2 linked regions of the Rhinolophus ferrumequinum genome follow. The protein of the gene in region 2 purifies or fractionates together with the protein of the main gene of each other region. This does not show direct contact. Links are inferred from orthologs where the notes say so. Each region holds a gene or a part of one and is shown on either strand. Other genes may lie near its edges.

What was found. Proteins that work in one complex are often made in the same cells at the same time.
Region 1: the proteins of NAF1 (region 2) and NHP2 purify together in Homo sapiens (affinity purification with western blotting; 3 studies listed by BioGRID and IntAct, with this or other methods). This does not show direct contact. The link is inferred for Rhinolophus ferrumequinum from reciprocal best matches to the Homo sapiens genes NAF1 and NHP2.

Annotation. Positions count from the first base shown.
Region 1 is NC_046307.1:4,933,739-4,938,704, forward strand, and holds NHP2 (H/ACA ribonucleoprotein complex subunit 2), read left to right. Parts: upstream 1-1,274; 5' UTR 1,275-1,365; coding exon 1,366-1,525; intron 1,526-1,604; coding exon 1,605-1,674; intron 1,675-3,468; exon of another isoform or gene 3,469-3,596; intron 3,597-3,988; coding exon 3,989-4,094; intron 4,095-4,572; coding exon 4,573-4,698; 3' UTR 4,699-4,947; downstream 4,948-4,966. UniProt on the Homo sapiens protein: Required for ribosome biogenesis and telomere maintenance. Part of the H/ACA small nucleolar ribonucleoprotein (H/ACA snoRNP) complex, which catalyzes pseudouridylation of rRNA.
Region 2 is NC_046301.1:53,286,446-53,291,411, reverse strand, and holds the start of NAF1 (H/ACA ribonucleoprotein complex non-core subunit NAF1), read right to left. Parts: upstream 3,522-4,966; 5' UTR 3,348-3,521; coding exon 2,989-3,347; intron 1-2,988. UniProt on the Homo sapiens protein: RNA-binding protein required for the maturation of box H/ACA snoRNPs complex and ribosome biogenesis.

The sequences.
Region 1 (4,966 bases), on a different chromosome or scaffold from region 2:
TTTCAAATTATTTTTTATTGTTTATATACCATATTTTCATTGTTCAATTGATATGTGTTTATATTTGTGAAATTAGTTGGGGTCTAAGGTTAGGATGAATCGCATCCTGATTTTTCTTATTAAAATACCAAATTTAAAAACCTATTAGTAGTTTATTTAATGACTGCTTGCAGGGTTAAAAGGTAAAATTTTAAGTTGGCTTAACTGACCTGTGATCCCACGGCCACCTTGCAGACTTCTGAAGTTCCACTTTCTGGCTGTTCCACCATCACAGAAATGGCAGGCCTTCCACTGAATAATCAAAGGCAATTAATTTGTAGCAATTATCTAATTAATATCCAGCCAGTGTTCCTAGACACAGTGGAAGAAATATGTTGGAGATACCAAGAGCCACCCCAGTCTAGGCCTACTCTCCTCCCCAGCGTCACTGTCCACTAATCTTCTACAATAACTGCAAAATGGGGGCCTACTCAGAGCTGTCCCCACGCCACTCCGGAGTGCGGTTCCCAGTGTCCACGCAGTTTTCCTCCTCACCCCGCTAGCTGTCACCACTATGCCCTCGGTGTTATGAGGCCAGGCAGCGGTGGGAACCACGAGGAAAAAGGTTAGGGGGTGGGGGAGGGAAGTCGGCGGGGACTGCAATTTTAGATAAGGTGGTCATCAGGGACCCCCTCCCATGAGTAACATTTGAGCAGATCCCTGCGGGAAGAGGGAGAGATCTTCGGGCTCCCTGGGGAAAAGCGGCCCAGACCGAGGCGCTCCCTGAGTGGCCATCCATCCCTCGGCAGGAAAGTGAAAGCAGAGTGTGAGAAATGGTGCAAGAAAGCAGGAAACGATTAGCAGTGTCAGGCTTTACCTGAACCTTGGCACCTGGGGTACACCAACCAGGACCAGCTCAGGTTGCGCACTGCCCATCTAAGGGGGCAGATTCTACCGCGGTTTGGAATCGCACTGGGCGGACCTCGCATTCTCCCACCCAGCTCGCAGACGCAGCGATTTGTCCCTTTAGACGTGGTCACGCCCCGCAGGTACCGCCGCCTCCTCCCGCTCCCAGAGCGTACAGGTGACGCCAAACTCCGACTAGCCCCAGCTGGTGCCCGGGTCCCTCCCCAGCATCCCGCCTCCCTCCAGGACCCACCTCCCTCCAGGCCCCGCCCACGTCTCCGGTTCCTTCGGGGCCCGCGGATGACAGCCCGAGCCCCGCCCCTAAGCTGAGCAGGAACAATTGGTCTGAGTCCGAGCCCTCACTTCCTAATTGGTTGTGCTGTTTGACACGCTTCCCCAGAGCTGGTGACCGGGAAGTGATTTCTAAGACTTGGGCCGCGTGCATCGCTTACTGGGGAGTCGGTAGCCGCGACCGCTGCGATGACCAAAATAAAGCGAGATCCAGATGAGCAGGAGGCTCAGCCGGAGGCGTCCTCCGGGGATCGTACTTACCACGAGCTGCTGGTGAATCTGAACCCCATCGCGCAGCCCCTGGCTTCTCGCCGCCTCACGCGGAAGCTCTACAAATGCATCAAGAAAGGTACGGCGGGCGGCGCGGTGGCGCGTGGGGGCGCGGGTGGCGGGCCGAGGCCCGCGGACTGACTCTTCTGTCATTGCAGCCGTCAAACAGAAGCAGATTCGGCGCGGGGTGAAGGAGGTTCAGAAATTTGTCAACAAAGGCGAGAAAGGGTAAGAACCCCCTCCCGCTTGATTTTGCATTTCCAAGCGGTAATGAAGGTATCCCTACTATTTAGTAGGTGCTCGGTGAAAATCGGGGTAAGTGCTCTGACTCTATTAGAAGATAATCAAGCAGTCAGTAAATTCTCTTCAACACAGCTAACCTATACATCACCTAACTTACCCAGCCCAAAGGGACACCGCGGGGAAAGTGAATTCCGGGGAAGCGAATAGGATAAGCGAACTCTTCGGGTAGACCCGGCTTCATTCTTCATTCAGCGACTGTTTATTGAGTTTCTACTCTTTCAGACACTATGATTTTAATCAAAGTAAAAAATTGTAATAGGTTAACTATGAAGAAAAAGTGCTTTTGTGAGAATGATTTCCTTACCCTACATCTTTTCTGGCATTTATCAGAATCTGAAACTCATTTGTATTCTTATTCCATCTCCCAGTCAGGCCAGACAATAGGCTCTTTGAGAGAAGAGGATAAAGCCTCTCCCTGCTATATCCCCAGAAGTGTCTGGTACCTTGTAGGTGCTCAATAAATAAATATTGCTGGGGGGACTTGATGCTCAATGGAGCCTGACATAGGTGGGGGTAGCTGAGATCTGAATATATGGGATTAGTGCCGGGGGGAAGGGTTCTGCCAGAATAGGTCCCAGGGCAGGAGAGGGGAGGGGTGGACAGAGTGCCACCTTTTCATGGAGCTTTGTAAGCCGTAAGTTTTTGTACTCAGAACTTTGGGGCAACAATGAGGGTTAAAGCCAGGAAGTGACATAATTATGTTTATAACTTAAGAAGATTTTTCTGGCAACTTTGGAAAGGATCAAAGGTGCAAGAGTATATGGGGAAATTGAAATAGGAGGTTACTGTAGTCTAGAGGAGGTGAAGGATGATTTTGATTAGGTTGGGTATGGTGAAGATGGAGAGAACTAAAGTGGATGGATCTGAGAGGATTTTCAGACATGGAGTGAGGAGGTATGGGTTCTAGCTGAACAGACAGAGGGCCCACTCATTGAAACAGTGAGCAGTGGAGGGGACGGGCTTTGTGTAGGAAGATCGCGTTTGGTTTTAGGCAAGTTTTCAAGGTCCCTCTTAGACTTGTGACCCCTCTCCCCAGCAAAACTGTCAAACAGTCAGGTGGTTATATGGGCTGCAAGCTTAGAAGAGGGCCAGGATGGAGAGAATAGATTTGGGAGTTGTCGGCACATAGATGGCACTTGATGCCACGGCCACAGATGAGGTCAGAAGGTACTGAGAGGGCAGCCAAGGACCAGGTGTGAGGAGCACCAGGCTACTCAGAGGAGCCTGCAGAGGAGAGCCCACAAGGCAAAAGGCAAACTAGGAGAGTGTAGACCCAGTAGTTTGAACCAAGAGCTCTTTCCTGGTGTTTGTGGTGCTTGCATCTCACCCCTGGAGAACAGACTCTGCCTTCTGTCTTCAGGGCTCTGGAGGCCCTTGCCCCAGAGTGCCAACACCTTGCCAGCTAGAAGCCCTAGCTGAGGAATCTGGCAAGCCCTGTCAATTTGGGGACTCAGTGCATGCTTCTTAGCCTGGCACTCAAGGCCTTTGTGTGTGGTCCCTGCCAATCTCTCTAGCCTCGTCTGCCCGTCTCCATCCTGGATTCCAGAGCCATCCCAGGCTGCCATCAGCCAGCCTCTGTGTGTCTGGTGCCATTCTGATTCTCCTTAAATGCTTTCTCTGCCCCCTGCACTCCCACCCCCACCCCCACCCACAGGGCTGCCTGGCAGACATTCATCATCATTCAGCTTTCTGTTCAAGTGTGGCCTCCTGATTCTTCTTTTAGCACTTTCACAGGTCCTCTCCCAGGCAATGGGGCCAGGATTTGGTAGCTGATGCTGAAAGAAAACCCTTGATTGCATACTTGCCCTGGGGCTGTGCCAGTGGCACTTTCACTTAATGGGACAGAGACTGTTCTGTGACATCTTATTCAACATTGTGCCTTTCTCTCTGTGGCTCTAACCTTAGGTCTTCTCCCTTTTCATCCTTTGCTACACAATAACAAAATAAAAAGAAAATAGATAATAATAAAATAAATATTATTTCTCCTCCAAAAATAAATAAATAAATAAATAAAATATAAAAAAGAAAATAGAGATCATCTCTCCAGAGGAACACAGTCACCAAATACAAATTTGCACGCACTTTCAGAGGTTGGGTGACCCACGTTAATAACTGGGCTCCTTGAGGGCAGGGGCCATCTTACCCATGTCTGTACCCCCCAAGGCCCAGTCCACAGGTGGTACTTTTGACTGAAGAGGGAATGAGCAAGCTAGAAATGACAGTGTTTCTCCCGTTTCAGGATCATGGTTTTGGCAGGAGACACGTTGCCCGTTGAGGTATACTGCCATCTCCCAGTTATGTGTGAGGACCGGAATTTGCCCTACATCTATATCCCTTCAAAGACGGTAAGGAGCCCATGAGCCTGACCTTAATCCCCACTGGAGGGGGCTGGGATAGGAGCTGCGGCAGCAGGCCAGTGGGAAAGAGTACAGGCTCTAGAGCTAAGACGGGCCTGGGCGGCTTCTTGGCTGTGGCCATGCTAGTCCTGTTAGGTGGGTGCAGTGCTCAGAGGGGGTGTTCTGGGAACCTCACACATCAGGAGCCAGGTCTAGAGCACAGGGACTGGGGGGATGGCAGGAACCTGGAAAGCATAGGCCTTGCCGAAGGGGACAGCCCCTGCTGGGCTAGAGCCTTTTCACAGCTGCCACACGGGAATGTAAACCCAGTGTTGCTGGACCACTTGAAAGTTTGCTGAGTTTAATTGATGGCAACCAATTTGAAATGTTTTTAAATATAATGATGACCAAATAGCACACATCTGTGAGCCAGATTAGACTGGTGGGTTTGTGACTTCCTGGCAAACAGCCCTTCTGTCTTTTGCAGGACCTGGGTGCAGCCGCAGGCTCCAAGCGCCCCACCTGCGTGATAATGGTCAAGCCGCACGAGGAGTACCAGGAGGCCTATGAGGAGTGCCTGCAGGAGGTGCATGCCCTGCCCCAATCGGTGTGACGGACCTGGGCGGCAACCTGGGCACCTGCTCCAGAAGCTGCTGGTCTGGCGGCGAGCTGGCTGGCTACCCTCCTGCTGCCCACTCAGCATCTCCCCAGCCCCTTGAGCACATGTTTTTTCCCAGGAAGCTCCAACAGTTATTTTGTGAAGGCAAAGCCATCATCTTCTCCATAGTGCTGTTTCCTGATGAATTTCCTGGCATTCATTTCCAGAGACGAGGTGTGGGGGAAGTAAATGCTCACACTAAAATGTGATGCGTCTGTGGGTG
Region 2 (4,966 bases):
AATTAGATATACATGTGAAACTAATACTTCTAAAATGTTATTAACTGCTAAGTCAAGGTGATAACTATATGAGTTTCTACTATTCTTCCCATTTTTTTATTAAGAAAATATTAAAACACAAGAGATAAACCTTAACAAATTTTCTCCCTAAATCCACAGTGTACAAGGTAAAGGTCATGCTCCTTAGCATGACATCTCAGAGCCACTTGCAATCAAGTTCCCGGGAACCTTCACAATCCCATCTCCCACCACTTCTCACACACAGGTTTTTATCTAGCATAGAAGCGTATAGAGCTTTCCATTTACGATACTTCCATTGACTAGAATGTCTTCAATGTAGAGAAATCTCATTTCTCTTTCCGTGTTTCCCCGAAAATAAGACCTAGTTGGAACACCAGCTCTAATGCATCTTTTGGAGCAGAAATTAATATAAGACCCAGTATCATATTATATTATACCCGGTCTTATTTTAACATAAGACTGGGTCTTATGTTAATTTTTGCTCCAAAAGATACATTAGAGCTGATGGTCCGGTCTTATTTTCGGGGAAACACGGTTATAGGTTCATCTTAAATATTGCCACCTCTGAAGCCACCCCCTAACCAACAAAAGAAGCATTACTGACTTCCTTTCCTATCTCCCACAGCACTTTTTTTCAAATTGCTTATTATGAAGGCCTTGAAATCATGACATTAGCTCTGGTAAGTATTATCATTCCTCCTGTTACAGCCGGAAATGGGCAAAGGCCATTTCACCACTTGGCTCAGGAACCCATCCGATTTGCAAGTGAACTCCTTCCTACCATTGTTGGCTTAAGAATCGCTCCCTCTGTCCCAAATCATTCCCATCAGCACACCAACGTTCTGCACCGCATGCTTAACCATTCATCGATGCCTCATTTCTCCCCTTAAAATACCTTGGAAAAGTGATTAACACATTCTGTCTCTACTCCCTTATTTCTCATTCAGTCTTTACCCCTAAATTGTCTTCCATCACCACCACTCCTTTACAAGGTCACCAAAAATCTCCAGCTGTAAAGTCCAGTGGACACCTTTCTGTCATATTATTCAACTTCTCAGCAACATTTGGCATGCCTCCCCACTCACTTCCTCAGAAAACTTCCATTGTTTTGCATGTATTATACTACTGTGGTATTCCACCGTTTTGTCGTCATGGCTTTAAATATGAACTTCACTGAAAAAAAGACTTAAAAGACGTAACACTCAAATGCAGAGTTTGAATACTGTTTGAATTCTAATTCAAACAAACCAACTGTTAAAAGACACCATTGAGACCACCAGAAAAATATGAATACAGACCAAGTATTAGGTGATATTAAGGAATTAGGATTAATATTTAGTAAGGTTGATAACGAATGGTGGTTATATAAAGAGTATTTTATCAATTAGAAATGCATAGTAAAGAATTTTCAGGTAAAGTAGCACGATGACTGAGATCTGCTTTAAAACTATCAGGTTAAAAAATGTTAGATAAAACAAGATTAGCAAATATTAGAAACTGTTAAGTTTGGTGATGAGTATATCGCATTCATGATATTATTCTCTACTTTTTCCCAAATTGAACATGTCTATAATAAAAAGTTAGTTTTAACGATAATCTGATGATGCTGAAATGTACATCTCCAGCCTAGAACTGTCCTGCAAACCCTACATTCATCAAACTACTGCTTGCCTGACATCTCCAATTGGCTGTCAGAGAAATCTCAAATTAACTGTCCAAATTAAACATTCTTATTGATCTCTAGCCCCCATCTCAGTAAACACTGAGTAAACAGCACCACAATCAACCCAGCTGATGGCTCTTTGCCTAGCCACTTCCGTATCTATTTGTAAGCCTGACCAGGGTGACTTCAAAATACTCAATCCAGACAACCATGGTCATATCATGGACCCATGCAACATCTTTCCAACTACTTCCACTCTCCTCTGCTTTTGCTCTTGAACCCAGTTCAATTCTTCCGCCACAGAGCAAAACTTATTAGAATGTTAACCTGCACATGCCATTTCTCTGCTTCAAGTTCTTCAACAGCTTCTTCAGTACTTAGAATTAAAAACTTTAACATGGCTACAGGGTCCTACAAGGGTGGGGTTCTCCTAATACTTTCTCAGTGCCTTGCTTGTTCCCTCATGGTAATTTTCACCAACTCTATTTATTGATATGTTTACTTATATTTTTCATCCCTCTCACTAGAATGTAGGGCAAGGATCATGTTTACTGCTGTTCACCTCTGTTCTGTACCCCACACAACACACTCACATACTACTTGTAAACATTTAATGTGAGTAAGGAACATCCTACACACTTAAATCCTTAAGTCTTCACCCACCATATAAGTTTCATATTTAAAAGACACGGGAGGGGGTGGGGGGGGGAAGGTCAGGGGAGGAAGTCTTATGAAACTTAACCAGAGTATACAACAATACTAAGTGATAATGTTTTGCTGATTTCACGAACACATGCTCCCAACAAGGATTCTAAGAATTAACAAAATTGTCAGGAGCCAATTTGGAAGCACAGAATCCTTTAATCCTCAATTCACCTGCTTCAAAAACACAAGCACACGTTAAAACTTCATGGGGGGGAAAAAGTCAGATCTGACACAAAACTCAGTTACAACCACAAGGGACACGCCAAACTAAGTAGCTAGAGAAATAATCCAATATCCTCAGGTTTTCTAGAGTCTAACTGAAAATGATACGATGTATATACACATAGGATCTTTCAGACTACCAAATTTTAGGGAAGAGCGAGCGGACTATTAATCAGGCTCAGATTCACAGCAAGATTTGCAGTCAACAGAGAGAAATGGGCGGTTCGAGCTGCTAGTCAACACGTGCGCTGTGAGCTTCGGGGACCTCTCCTCACCCCCAGGCCCACACGAGCACCCTCTCGGCCCCCAGGCTCCGGCTCCCCGCGCGAGTTACACAAGCCCTCTCCCCGCATCTTCGGGACCTGCAGGCACCCGACCTGTCCGATTCTGAATCCGAGTCCGAGATCTCCAAGAAGCCTGGGGACTGCGCCAGCTGTGAAGCGCCCGTGCCGGTGACGCAGTTCCCTCCAGGTGGCGGTTCTGGCCCCGACTGCGGCGCGGAGCTCTCGCCGATCGCGGTGCCGAGCACGAGTTCAGGCGGCTGCTCCTTGGCTAGCGGAGTCTCCGCGGCCTGCCCAGCGTCTGGAGTCCCCTCCTCCGACTGTAGTGGCGGCGGTGGCTCTGGGACAGGAACGGAGCCCGGTGACTGCACCGCCTGACCTTGGCCAACCCCAAAGCCGGTGACATTGAATTTCAGAGTCTCCAGCTGAGCAGCGGCGGCCTCCACTACTTCCATGGCGTCGAGACAGAGTCTCACGTTCTGGGCCTCGGCCAGGCTCGCGGCTCGCTGCGCGAATGCAGCAGCCTCGGCAGTGGAGGTAACGGTACCTGGATCCCACTTCCCGCGTTTCTCCGGGAACTACACGCGGGGCGGCCTGGAGACACGCCCCCACCGCTTACTCAGAGGTACTTCCGGGAGAGCGTGTAACGTGACGTGACGCGACTGCGCTCCCTGGGGGCGGGGCGGGCCGTAGAACCTTTGAAAACCAGACCTCCTAACCCCGCCCTTCTTCCCCGCGTCACCGGGGCGGTGCGGCTCCCACCGTCAAGTCAGATGCGTGGAATCGCCAATTGCTGGATCGGGGACAATTCTATTCCAAACGAATATCCTAAGGGGTTGTAGGACCGGGGGAGATGACTATGCGAGCCTCTGCGTATCAGAAACTTGAGCCTGGAGGTCTTGAACAAACATGTCCTGTAAACTTAATTAAAGTGAAGTGAAGTGAAACCGCTTGAAAGGTAGCGAACACGTTAACCATTTATCTCAAAAAAATTTACAACTACTCCATTTTTTACCCCCTCTAAAGCACTCTCGAAGAGAGCGGTAATAATGATGGACAACGTTGCTGCTGCGTGATGGCCTGTGTTGTAGTTGACACTGCTCCTTAGAAAGGGTGGGAAAGGACTAAATGTACTCACGTAACCTGGAAAACCATTTTTCTAGATCATAAGGCAAACAAGCAAAAAGTTCTTAGGGTTGAGGTAGGGATCCGAAGTTTATAGTTCCCGATTAGAACTTCAATTTGATGCATCAGCCCCTCCAGTAATAATAAATAATCGCTGTTACTATTTGTTAAGAATATGTGCCAAGGACGATGCTAAAGATTTTATCAGTCACAGCCCTCTGGAGGGGGATTGGTTCCAGGACCACCTCAAACCCCCACCGCAACCCCTCCTCCTAGGTACCAAATTCAGGATGCCGGAGTCTCTTACATAAAATGGCATAATATTTGCATATAACCTACTCACGTCCTCCAGTATATATATATTACTTATAATTCCTCATACAATGTGAATGCTGTGTAAACGTTTGTTATACTACATTGTTTAGGGAATAAGGACAAGAAAAAAATTCTGTAGGTGTTCAGCACAGATGCAACCATCATACGCCTAACTCTATAGTACACATCAGCAACAACGTAACATTTTTAAAAATATTTTTTATCGGAGATTGGTTGAATCCACGGATGTGGAACCCACAGATACAGAGGGCACCCTGTTTTCAATGAGAATTTGTTGTGTGCCTTCCACAGGGGTAGATCTTGACAGAAATTCAATACAAGAATGATAGTCTCTGGTTTTGCAGAGGCGCTTGCAATCTAATTGAAGCAAAAAAGCCAAGGCACAGAAGATAAGTAGAAAGATACTTGAAATGTGGAACACAAGATGCAAGTTCAGCAGTAGTAGGAACTGAAGTAAGACTTGTGGGGCTATATCCAAAGATATATCCAAAGACTTGTGGGGCTAAATCCCAAAGAGAAGCAGGGATTTAAACTTGAGCTACTGCTCACTAATGCAATGACAGACCTCCGTGTTCCCAGCTAACAGATCTGTGGTCAAATCTCAGCTCTACCG